Mus musculus: one gene and its partners. The main gene of each other region encodes a partner of the protein of the gene in region 2 in a complex. Links are inferred from orthologs where the notes say so. Each region holds a gene or a part of one and is shown on either strand. Other genes may lie near its edges. The genes, in order: Aim2, Mefv and Ripk3.

The links.
Region 1: Mefv (region 2) and Aim2 share a complex: the UniProt entries of both Homo sapiens proteins name them as parts of the AIM2 PANoptosome complex. The link is inferred for Mus musculus from reciprocal best matches to the Homo sapiens genes MEFV and AIM2.
Region 3: Mefv (region 2) and Ripk3 share a complex: the UniProt entries of both Homo sapiens proteins name them as parts of the AIM2 PANoptosome complex. The link is inferred for Mus musculus from reciprocal best matches to the Homo sapiens genes MEFV and RIPK3.

The regions. Positions count from the first base shown.
Region 1 is NC_000067.6:173,462,098-173,465,747, reverse strand, and holds part of Aim2 (interferon-inducible protein AIM2), read right to left. Parts: coding exon 3,428-3,650; intron 2,993-3,427; coding exon of another isoform or gene 2,885-2,992; exon of another isoform or gene 1,896-2,884; intron 1,890-1,895; coding exon 1,701-1,889; intron 778-1,700; coding exon 730-777; 3' UTR 1-729. UniProt on the Homo sapiens protein: Sensor component of the AIM2 inflammasome, which mediates inflammasome activation in response to the presence of double-stranded DNA (dsDNA) in the cytosol, leading to subsequent pyroptosis.
Region 2 is NC_000082.6:3,715,257-3,719,006, forward strand, and holds the start of Mefv (pyrin), read right to left. Parts: upstream 2,869-3,750; 5' UTR 2,807-2,868; coding exon 2,530-2,806; intron 873-2,529; coding exon 27-872; coding exon of another isoform or gene 1-26. UniProt on the Homo sapiens protein: Involved in the regulation of innate immunity and the inflammatory response in response to IFNG/IFN-gamma.
Region 3 is NC_000080.6:55,786,061-55,789,810, reverse strand, and holds the start of Ripk3 (receptor-interacting serine/threonine-protein kinase 3), read left to right. Parts: upstream 1-953; 5' UTR 954-1,174; coding exon 1,175-1,194; intron 1,195-1,348; exon of another isoform or gene 1,349-1,429; coding exon 1,430-1,573; intron 1,574-1,677; coding exon 1,678-1,987; intron 1,988-2,371; coding exon 2,372-2,529; intron 2,530-2,650; coding exon 2,651-2,697; intron 2,698-2,794; exon of another isoform or gene 2,795-2,886; coding exon 2,887-3,054; exon of another isoform or gene 3,055-3,160; coding exon 3,161-3,228; intron 3,229-3,452; coding exon 3,453-3,750. UniProt on the Homo sapiens protein: Serine/threonine-protein kinase that activates necroptosis and apoptosis, two parallel forms of cell death. Necroptosis, a programmed cell death process in response to death-inducing TNF-alpha family members, is triggered by RIPK3 following activation by ZBP1.

The DNA of each region.
Region 1 (3,650 bases), on a different chromosome or scaffold from region 2:
TACCCTCAGTGTCTATGTAGAGAAGAATGATATCTCAAACCTTAGACAAAGCAACAATTTTATTAGATATTTTCTTCATTTACATTTCAAATGCTATCCCGAAAGTCCCCTATAACACCCCCCACACACACTCCCCAACCCACCCACATCCACTCCTGCTGCCTGGCCCTGGCATTCCCCTGTACTGGGGCATATGATCTTTGCAAGACCAAGGGCCTCTCCTCCCATTGATGACCGGCCAGGCCATCTTCTGCTACATATGCAACTGGAGACACAGTTCTGGGGGGTACTGGTTAGTTCATGTTGTTGTTCCTCCTATAGCGTTGCAGACCACTTGCTGCTTGGGTACTTTCTCTAGCTCCTTTATTAGGGGCCCTGTGTTCCATCCAATAGATGACTGTGAGCATCTGCTTCTGTACTTGTCAGTCACTGGCAGAGCCTCACAAGAGAGAGCTATATCAGGATCCTGTCAGCAAAATCTTGCTGGCATATGCAATAGTGTCTGGGTTTGGTGGTTGTATATAGGATGGATCCCCAGGTTGGGCAGTCTTAATAACTTAATTAATAATAAGTTTACATATATTTTTCAGATGTTTTTTGAGTATTTGTCCTTTTCTAAGTAATACAATATGATGATGAGGTTGTAAAATGCTATCCTCAGGTAGTTCAGTCTAGTTCAAGGAGCAGCATCAGGATTCTTCAGGAAAAGGTTTTTCAAATGAGGTGACTTCACTCCACACTTTTCATGTCAGTTTTTGGCTTTGCAGCCTTAATAACCTGGGTAGGAAAGGAAGATGAAGACTGAAATATTGTTGATTAATTAATTCTCCTCTACTTTCACTTACTGTGTTCTCCTGAAAATTCCTTTCTTCTCATCAAATCTCCTCACCTAACACATATTTCCTCTTAATTCTGTCACTCTTGGACAACTCTCCTGAACTATATCTGCCCTGAACACACACACACTCCTACACAAGAAGGACAAATATGAAGACTTCTCAGGTCCCCATCTAATAACTCTATATATACAGTTGAGTGGTGAGGAAGAGAGGAAAGCAGAATCAGTGGGATCATCAGCACGGGGATGTGATAGCTGACTTAACTGCTTTGGACTATGACAGATGTGAAGATGATTGCCCTGGCTCAGATGTTTGTTGTCAGGGTGTTATAGTCTGACTTGACTTTTAACTGCATTTGCCAGAATGATGTGTGCAACTTTGAGAAAGCTGCCTTCATTAGATTTAGACTGTATTCAATAAATTCATTGTGGAAAGTTCTTTGAGAGGAGGAGGAGGAGGAGAAGGAAGAAGAAGAAGAAGAAGAAGAAGAAGAAGAAGAAGAAGAAGAAGAAGAAGAAGAAGAAGAAGAAGAAGAAGAAGAAGAAGAAGAAGAAGAAGAAGAAGAAGAAGAAAAGAAGGAGAGTGAGATTTTGTGTGTGCATGTGTGTATGTGTTTGTGTGTGTGTGTGTGTATGTGTGTGTGTGTATGTGTATGTGTGTGTACATGCACACGCATATGTGTGTTTTCCTTGGGAAATCCACAGCTTTGAATTGTGTATCTGGGTTATGTATTTTTGAATGACAGGCTTCTCAGGTCTGTGAGATGCAAAGGCATACATATTAAGCTCTTCTCTGCCATCCTGTTCATTGGATTTCCAATAGAAAACACAAAACAACATCCTCTTCTGAGAATTTCCATACCTTAAAAAAGCTACAAGGTCCAGATTTCAACTGAATTTTCACTCCATTTTTTGACACCTCAAAGAACGTGAGTCTAATCTTGTCTCCTTCCTCGCACTTTGTTTTGCTTGGGTTTCCCAGCACCAACACCTCCATTGTCCCTGTTTTATCATGTATACCATACAGTACTCTATCTTTTTCCTCTGTTATCTGTGAAAGGAAAATATGAGTCAAGTCCTGCTAGATGACTAAGAAAGAGCAGCATATCAATCAGTTATCAGACAAGCTAGGAGCAGCTTTCCAAAATAATATAATAAATAATTCCAAACTTCTACCCAACAGATTCTAGCAAATCTCAGTGGAAGGGGTAGGAGGATTATATTAAAAGCATGTTGCCTCTTGTGTCCATCTTCCTAGTCCCAAGGTTTTTTTCTTTTGGGAGGCCAGAATAACTCACAGAAACAACGGGTAGACAGGGAAGGTGGGGCTTCTCCAGGGCCAGCATGCAGGGGGCAGTCATGGGAAAGGAGCACCTCCTGGTTAGGAGGAGAGTCACTTAAGGAAACAAGTAACAGAAACCCATGAACCAAAAATAAAAGACCTAGTGAAGAAATTTAAAAGTAAAAAGTCAACCATGAATGAAATATCATTCACAGTCAAGTCCAGATTAGAAGGAGACCAGATTCTAGTCAGGGATGTAAAATATCAATATTTCAATGTTAGTTTTATTCACTAAATGAGAAAACATTAGTGGGTAATTGATCAAACGGAAGGCTCAGAACTGAGAGGGGATGAGTGTTTTTTATGCTTTAATTTTCCAAGGAAGACATTTCCCTCCTGCCTCCTTTCTGAAAAGACGAGAGAGGCCATCCTGGCTACAAGTTCAGAAATCAACACGTTTCCTGTGGTTCTTCAGGGTCGCTCTTAGGCCAGAAAACTGTTCGTACAAGACTAATATATATTTTTTTTTAACCTGATTTCTGGTTTGAATGAAAATGGTCCCCACAGGATCACAGGGAGTGGCAGTATGCAAAAGGATTAAGATATGTGGCCTCTTGTTGAAGTAGGAGTGGCTTTGTTGGAGGAAATGTCATTGGGGGTGGGCCTTGATGTTTTAGAAGCTCAAGTCAGGCTCTCTCTCTCTCTCTCTCTCCCTCTCCTCTGTCTCTCTCTCTCTCTCTCTGTCTTCAAACCATACCTGTACATCAGTCCTCTGCAGAGTGCTCAACCCAACAGTGACTTTGAATATGGCTAGTATCTAAGTGCATAAAAGCAACACAGAGGTGAAGATGCCTGTGTCTATGCTTCAGAAGCTACAAGGCGGAAAAAAAAAAAGAAATTTCAAAATCAGAGTTTCAAAATCAAACCTTCCTTCGCTGTGTGTGGTGACATGCACTTGGATCCCAGCACTCAAGAGGTAGGGGCAGCGAATATCAGTGCATGCCACATAAGACAAAGCCACACAGTAAGACCCTGTCTCAAACAGCAAAACAATCAAAAATACAAAATAAAACTTGGTGAGCTTTGTCTTGGTAAATTATCATCCTACAAATCCTGAACTCTGTAAAATTCTTTTTTAATTGTTAAAATGATTTAAAATCAATTTTTAAATTTATTTTAATTGTTTCAGATTTAATAGAGTAAAAAACATTGAAATGTATTTTCTAAAGTCCCATTAAGGCTTAGAATAGGTGTTATATTTTATATTATTCTTACTGATCAATATAAAATTGCGTATAGGAACTTACCTTCTGGACTTTAAACAGCCCATTCACAATTGTTCCACATGGCTGAATCTTCAGTTTACTAATCCTGGGAGTTTCCCTGGCTCTCTTAACAACGTTATTTGGGACTTCGTGGTTAGATTCAACATCAACCACAACTGAGGAACTGGTGACCTCCATGAAGTTACTGTGCCAAAGGTAGTTTGATATTTTAATTGTCCTCTTTGGGATAAATTTATCTTTAAAC
Region 2 (3,750 bases):
TTTTCTTGAGACCTGAAGGAGGGTACCTTCACAAGCGGCCTGTCCTAAGGATGCTGGGTCTTCTGGAGTTTTAGCTGGTTTTTCACATAGTGACAAAGGCACTTCTGGATCAGAGAGTATGCTGCCAGCCGTCTCTCCCGAGGACTCTGTGGTTTCTGGACTCCCATTTCCATTTTCCGTCCATGATGTAGGGCATCTCTCCTCCCCAATCAACGATGTTTTGGAAGACATGTTTCTGAATGTTTTTTCATCCAGCACCATGGAATGCTCTGGAATCCCTGTGCCCTTTTCTAAAGCCCCCGTAGTCCTTCCATTCAGAGTAGCTGTTCTCATGCGAATGAGACTCCCATTTCTTGTTTCCTCTTGAGTTGGAAGAACTTCTGAATTTGGGGGTTCTCCTTCTCTTGAATAAGTGGTAATTTCAAGACTCCTGGGTCGCTTCTTTCCTGAAGGCAAATATACATACACTTCGGCTTTCTTGCTTTCTCTCCTCCCTGGGGCATTGTTGTAAAGTCCTTGAAGCCTCCCTGCAGAGCTGACATTCCTGCGGAGCTGGGCACTTGCTGTGCTCTCCTTATCCCCTGGGGACTGGGTGCCCTGGGTTCTCCTATAGAGAGGCGCTGTGCTCCTTGTCCATGGCTTGGTCTGTGAGTCCAGGCTCTCGGGGCCCCTCTGATCCTTCCTTTTGGTCAGTGACTTCTTCTGGGGTCCCTTCCCCACTTCAGCCTGGCTGGATGGAAGGGTGTCTGATTCATCATTGTTTTGCTGTGTCCCATCACCTTCAGGGACATCTGGTACCTTCACACTCTTGGCTTTATTCTCTACAGAAGACTGGACAGAACCACCAACTCTATTTTCTTCAATTAAATGTTCTAGAAAGACAATAAGATACAGTCATGAAGCTGTGCTATATTCAAGGCTGGGGTTGGAGGAAGGGAGAAACTCCTTAGAAGTTAATAAAAGCAAAGAACTGAACATTCTAGACAACAGATGTCCATTACACAGAACCATAAAATACATAGTAAATAAAAACTGGGTTACTGTTATAGATGCATGCATGACTGTACCTGTGACATTTGACTTATAAAGCAAAGCAAATAGGAAGGGATGAAAGCAACCAGCTCAGTAAGTAAAGGCACTTGCCAACAAGCTCAGCCTCCAGAACCACAGAGGAACGAATCAATTCCTTCAAGTTGTCCTCTGACCTTTATGCCAGAGCACACTAACACTCACTTACATATGCAGACAGACACAAAATACATAAGCAAAGTAAAATTAAAATAGGAGCCTGGAGAGACAGAGAGGTGGCTCAGCAGTTCAAAGCATTGGGGTGCTCTTCTACAGCCCCCAGATTCAGTTCCCAGAATCCACACAGTAGCTCACAACCATCTGTAACTCCAAATCCAGGGAATCTGATTCCCTCTTCTGGCTTTTGTGGACATCAAGATTGCAAGTGGTACACACACATATCCAGACAAAACACCCACACACATAAATTTAATTTAAAAAGGAACATATAGAAATGAATCATTTTCAATCATGGCACAAACTGAAGAAAACCTCAAGTCATAAATGTAAACGTAGATGGTGTTTGAAAACAAGTTGAGGGAACTGGAGAGATGGAGCACTGACTGCTCTTCCAGAGGTGCTGAGTTCAATTCTCAGCAACCACATGGTTGGTGACCCACAACCATCTGTAATGAGATCTGATGCCGTCTTCTGGTGTGTCTGAAGAGAGCAATGCTGTACTCATATACATAAAATAAATAAATAAATCTTTAAATGAATTAATTAATTTTTAAAAAGAAAGGAAACTCGTTGGAACAGGTATGGTGGTGTAGTTTCTAACCTCAGACACAGAGGCAGGAGCATCTCTAGAGTTTGAAGCAAGTGTAGTCTATATAGTGAGGCCCTGTCTAGAAATCAAAGCCAAAAAAATAACAAAAACAAAAACAGCAAGCAAACTTGCCTGCAATTTCAGGATATTGACAGATAAGGTTTAATTTCAAAGTCTACATAATGAAGATAACCCATGATTAACAACTTAGGTTTTCATTTGAAGAAACCTTTCATTAAAAGCAAAGAATGTTTAAATACCCTTGTAAAGTATCCCAAGGAAGAACTCCAATTGAAATTGGGTGGTTAATGAGATTCTCAGACATGTGAGTATGGTTGAATTTCAAGCCTTTTCTGCTAACCTGATGATAGTCTGGGCTTGCTTATTACTTGAAAACATGGAGTAAAGACTTCTCTAGGTTTTGCTCCATTCATGATCCACCTGTCCTGAGTCTCACCCACAGCTGAAATATCAGTTTTTATTATTAATGTCTTGGGGGGTGGGGGGGGAGCCTGGGAGCTTCACTAAACAGGTTACAAGGGCCAGAGAGAAGGATGAGGCATGCTAGATTCACACTACTCGGACTGAAGTGGACAGGGGCTTTCTAACCCTTAGCTAGTGTCTGAGCATTCCTCTCATCCACCACCAGTAGCTAGCATCCATCCCCACTGGGAAGAGGCTTGGCAACTTACCTGTGCCTGTGGCTTTGCGAAGCTCCTCTGCTAGTTGGCGCTGGTTGGTGGCCCGCAGGATCTGCAGGGTCAGCCTTACAGCATACTCCTCCCCGTAGTAGGTTATCAGAAGGCTGGCCAGCTTTACTGGCCTGGCCATCTGCATATGGCCCCGGGGGATCTTAGAGTGGCCCTTCTCCAGGCTGGTGTTCTGTAGCTTAAACTTGAACTTCTCAAAGTCATAGGGCAGCAGCTCCTCCAGGGTGTTTAGCAGATGATCACCAAGGGTCTTGGCCATGGTGCGGGCCAGGAGGGACTGCAGCCAGCTATGTGGCTTCTGGCAAACGATAATGACCTCTCTCGTGCAACTTGAGAACAAGCAAGAAATAGCTTGTGAAATAACGGACAAGGCGCAGGAAGCACATCAGCTTTGGTGGGAACTGAGAGTAAAAATGAGGGCGTGTCCAGGGTCTAGCCTGCTGCATACTTTCTTTGAGGATTCAGAGTCTTTTCCAGTGGGGAGGTCTCCACCTTGCCAGCCTATGTCCTGATTAAACAACAGGCAGGCCAGACTCTAAGGGTAGCTCTGGGATTGACAGCCAGACCTTCCAGCTGCTCCTGAGCTCTTGCTTGCTCTCAGGACCCTAGGCTGTGGAAGAGGGAGATGATCTTACGTGGAGTTGGTCCCCTCTGGCCAACTGCTCTCTTTGGACTCTTGAGGTTTATAGACCTCCAGGGCCAATGGCAGGGGAAGGAACAAACAGCAAATAATCCCTATAGGCTTTGCCTGGGCCTTCTCAAGAAAGCAGAAGCCAGAAAGGTACTGCAATGCATGTCCAGTCTGTCTGGTCCATGTCTAGTCTATCCAGCAACGTAAAGTGTTCACACGGGACCTGCGGACCACCTTTGTTGCCAGCATTCTCATGCATCTATTCCCACAGCCAACTTGGCCCTGGCTTCCTAGGTCCACTAACTGCTTCTGGGTTAAATTTTCTGTGGCCTCCTTTACTTTTGTCTTAACCATTGGAGAATAAATAAAAAGCATTATTATCTATCATTCTAAATACCCTAGATATCTGTGAAGGCTGACATTGATTGTCAATCTGACATGCTTGGGAAGAGGGAACCTCAATTGAAAAAATGCCTCCATCAGAATGGCCTGTAGGCATGTATGTGGGGCTTTTTCCTGATTGATATCCAATAGAGGAGTGCCAAGCCCACTGGGGGTGATACCATCCTAAG
Region 3 (3,750 bases), on a different chromosome or scaffold from region 2:
TAGGCAAAATTCTTGTCATGCAAGCATGAGGACCTGAACTCATATTCCCACAACTAAAGTGACATTGGGGACAGTAGCCCATGTATACCATGCCAGTGTTCCTACAGCAAGATGAGAGACAGGAGAATACTGGGACATTAACAGGCTAACACATAGCATTATGCACACAGCAGAGAACAAACTGACCCTATCTCAAACAAGGTCGAACACCTACACACACACACACACACACACACACACACACACACCATGACATGCACCCCTTCACCACATGCATGGTCATGCACACACATAAATAAATTTTAAGATAAATAAGAAAGCCAAGCATGGTGGCGTACACCTTTAATCCCAGCATTTAGTCAGGAGGCAGATGCAGATGGCTCTCTGTGAGTTTGAGTCAACCTGGTCTGTATACTCGAGTCCCAGATCAACCAGGGCTCCAAAAAGAGACCCTGTCTCAAAAGTAAGTAAGTAAGTAAGTAAGTAAGTAAGTAAGTAAATAAATAAATAAATAAATAAATAAAATAAGGGCTACCTTGGTGGAGCAGAACTCGGTTCTAAACTAGTCCCATACTTACTTGGCCAAGCGATTTAAACTTTAAGTACTTGGGTTTCCTCCTCTATAGAAAAGAAAACACGGTTGATCTAAGAAGCCAGTATGTGTACCTGGCCCAAGACAACCCTTACTAGAAGCGTTACTCCGTGATCTTAGGACCATAAAATCCTCCTGATCTCCATCCTCCCTTCATCAAAATGTGGTTGGCAAGCGGTGGAGCTAAGGGGTCCAAGAGAGACTGGCTATCGTGGGGAGTCAATCGTTCCTGGATGGTGAGGACACCTTTTGTGGCACGCCCAGTGCCTGGGCGCTTCTCGGGTGGAAGCAGTTTCAAGGCACGTGCACAGGAAATAGCCCCAAAGTTTTCAATGCTCCACCCCAGGGGGCGGAGATAGAAGGAGCCTCTTATTTGAAAGGGAAGTTGTGAAGTCGCTCATTCAAAGTCCGGGGGAGCGACCTGGGAAGCGGAATTCGGGGCCTGAACCTCCGTGCCTTGACCTACTGATTGTTCCCTTTGCAGACCCTGCCTTCCTCTCAGTCCACACTCCGAGCCGTAGACGTCGGGTTTCCAGCTCCGTCTGTGCACACATAACTCCAGGAAGCCGCTAGCTCCCGACGATGTCTTCTGTCAAGTTATGGTGAGTGGGGAGTGAGCTGTGTCTCCGGCACACCCACACAGGTGGCCCGGGGACACACTCAAAGGACGCCTTTTCTGAGGCAGGGGACAAAGCTGGGGGTGAGGCGGGCAGCAGTGGGGAGGCTAGACTCGCTGCCTACGCTGCCCACGCGCAGTCACGGAATCCCGGAGCTTGGGAGACAGAGGATGCGCTAGGCTGGGGGATGGGCCCCCTACCGGACAAGAACCTTTCTCAGGCCTACTGGTGCGTCAGCGGTTCCTCTGGTGAGCCGTGAAGAACTGAAGAAGCTGGAGTTTGTGGGTAAAGGAGGGTTCGGAGTCGTGTTCCGGGCACACCACAGAACATGGAACCATGATGTAGCAGTCAAGATCGTGAACTCGTGAGTGACCCCAGCTGTAGTCAGAGTGTGGTCACGAGCCTGAGTGGGGCAAGGGTGGGGTCTTCCAGAGCGCAATCCAATTTTGGCCCCCTTTCGGCGTGTAGGAAGAAGATATCCTGGGAGGTGAAGGCTATGGTTAATCTTCGTAATGAGAACGTTCTGCTCCTGCTGGGGGTCACTGAGGACCTCCAGTGGGACTTCGTGTCCGGGCAGGCTCTGGTGACAAGATTCATGGAGAATGGCTCCCTCGCAGGGCTGCTGCAACCCGAGTGCCCTCGGCCCTGGCCACTCCTCTGTCGCCTGCTGCAGGAAGTGGTGCTGGGGATGTGCTACCTACACAGCTTGAACCCTCCGCTCCTGCACCGGGACCTCAAGCCCTCTAACATTCTGCTGGATCCAGAGCTCCACGCCAAGGTTAGTCCATCTACAACCTAGTGTAGACTTGGGACCATGTTGAGTACCTGTCCCTCTGAATACAAGACTACACACATGACAAGACCCAACTAGGAGTTTTATTTCTAGTCATACCAGGTGACCCTCCTTACCAGACGCCCTTCTTAACCCCCTGGCTCAGTTCCACAGGCCTAATGCACCCTCACGGACCCAGGCTGACTTATCTCAGGCCTGCCCATCAGCAACTCAGATCTCCTGCTAAGTTCTCAATGACTTTACCTTCCCTCTGGTCCTCCATAACACCTTCCAAAAAGCTGAGGCTGCTGCATCTTCTGGGGAGCAAGAGAGGGAAAAATCTCTGACCCCCCCCTTCATCTAATACCTTCCCTTTCCTTTCCTTTACAGCTAGCAGATTTTGGCCTGTCCACGTTTCAGGGAGGGTCCCAGTCAGGGTCAGGATCAGGATCAGGATCCAGGGACTCTGGGGGCACCCTAGCGTACTTGGACCCAGAGCTGTTATTTGATGTCAACCTGAAGGCTTCTAAAGCGAGTGATGTCTACAGGTAAACCATCCACCCCAAACACACTCCAAATCTCTATACCAATTTGGGCCCTTCTAAAGGGAATGATACAGGAAAGAAGTCTCGCCAGAGGCCATCTAAGCCTCCATTTGTGTCTGTACAGCTTTGGGATCCTCGTGTGGGCAGTGCTGGCTGGCAGAGAAGCTGAGTGTAAGACTCCAAATGGAGTACCCGAAAGCACCTAAACCCCCCTGGAGCCCTCCCTTTTACCCTGACCCACTAACACACTGCCCTCTTCCCACCTCACCTCTCACTTGGATGACTCTCCCTGCTCCTGTCCGCGATAGAATGGGCTGTCCCCTCATTTCATGAATTCCTTATGTTATCCCCCAACTCCAGTGGTAGACAAGACTTCACTAATCCGGGAAACAGTGTGTGACAGGCAGAGTCGTCCTCCACTGACAGAGCTGCCTCCAGGTAGCCCTGAGACTCCCGGCTTGGAAAAACTGAAGGAGTTAATGATTCATTGCTGGGGTTCCCAGTCCGAAAACAGGCCATCCTTCCAGGGTGAGTTGGCCGTATCTCTGGCAACTAGGGTAGGCTTGGGTCTTCAGCAGGGAGCTCCTCCAAGGAAAGAAATCCGACTCATATACAACTCGCTGTTGTCTTTCAGACTGCGAACCAAAAACCAATGAAGTTTACAATCTGGTAAAGGACAAGGTAGATGCTGCTGTCTCCGAGGTGAGTTTCTAGCACTGCCTTCCCATCCAGGAACTGTTGGGAGATGGCACAAGTGGCTCCCTTAACCATTCAGTTTATCTTCACTGGCCACCATTATTTAATCCTTGGTTGTCATTCCCATTCACCAGAACCTACTCCTTAGTCTCCAGAGACCAAGAAAATTTTCACTGGGGTTTACTTTGGCTGCCCCAGCTCCTGACAACAAGGTCCCCCTGTCTGCACAGGTAAAGCATTATCTGTCTCAGCACAGAAGCAGCGGCAGAAACTTGTCTGCCAGAGAGCCAAGCCAAAGAGGCACAGAAATGGATTGCCCGAGGGAAACCATGGTTTCTAAAATGCTGGACCGCCTGCATTTGGAGGAACCCTCCGGACCAGTTCCTGGAAAATGTCCTGAGAGGCAAGCACAGGACACATCAGTTGGGCCTGCCACACCAGCAAGGACATCTTCTGACCCCGTGGCTGGCACTCCTCAGATTCCACATACTTTACCCTTCAGAGGCACAACACCTGGGCCAGTCTTTA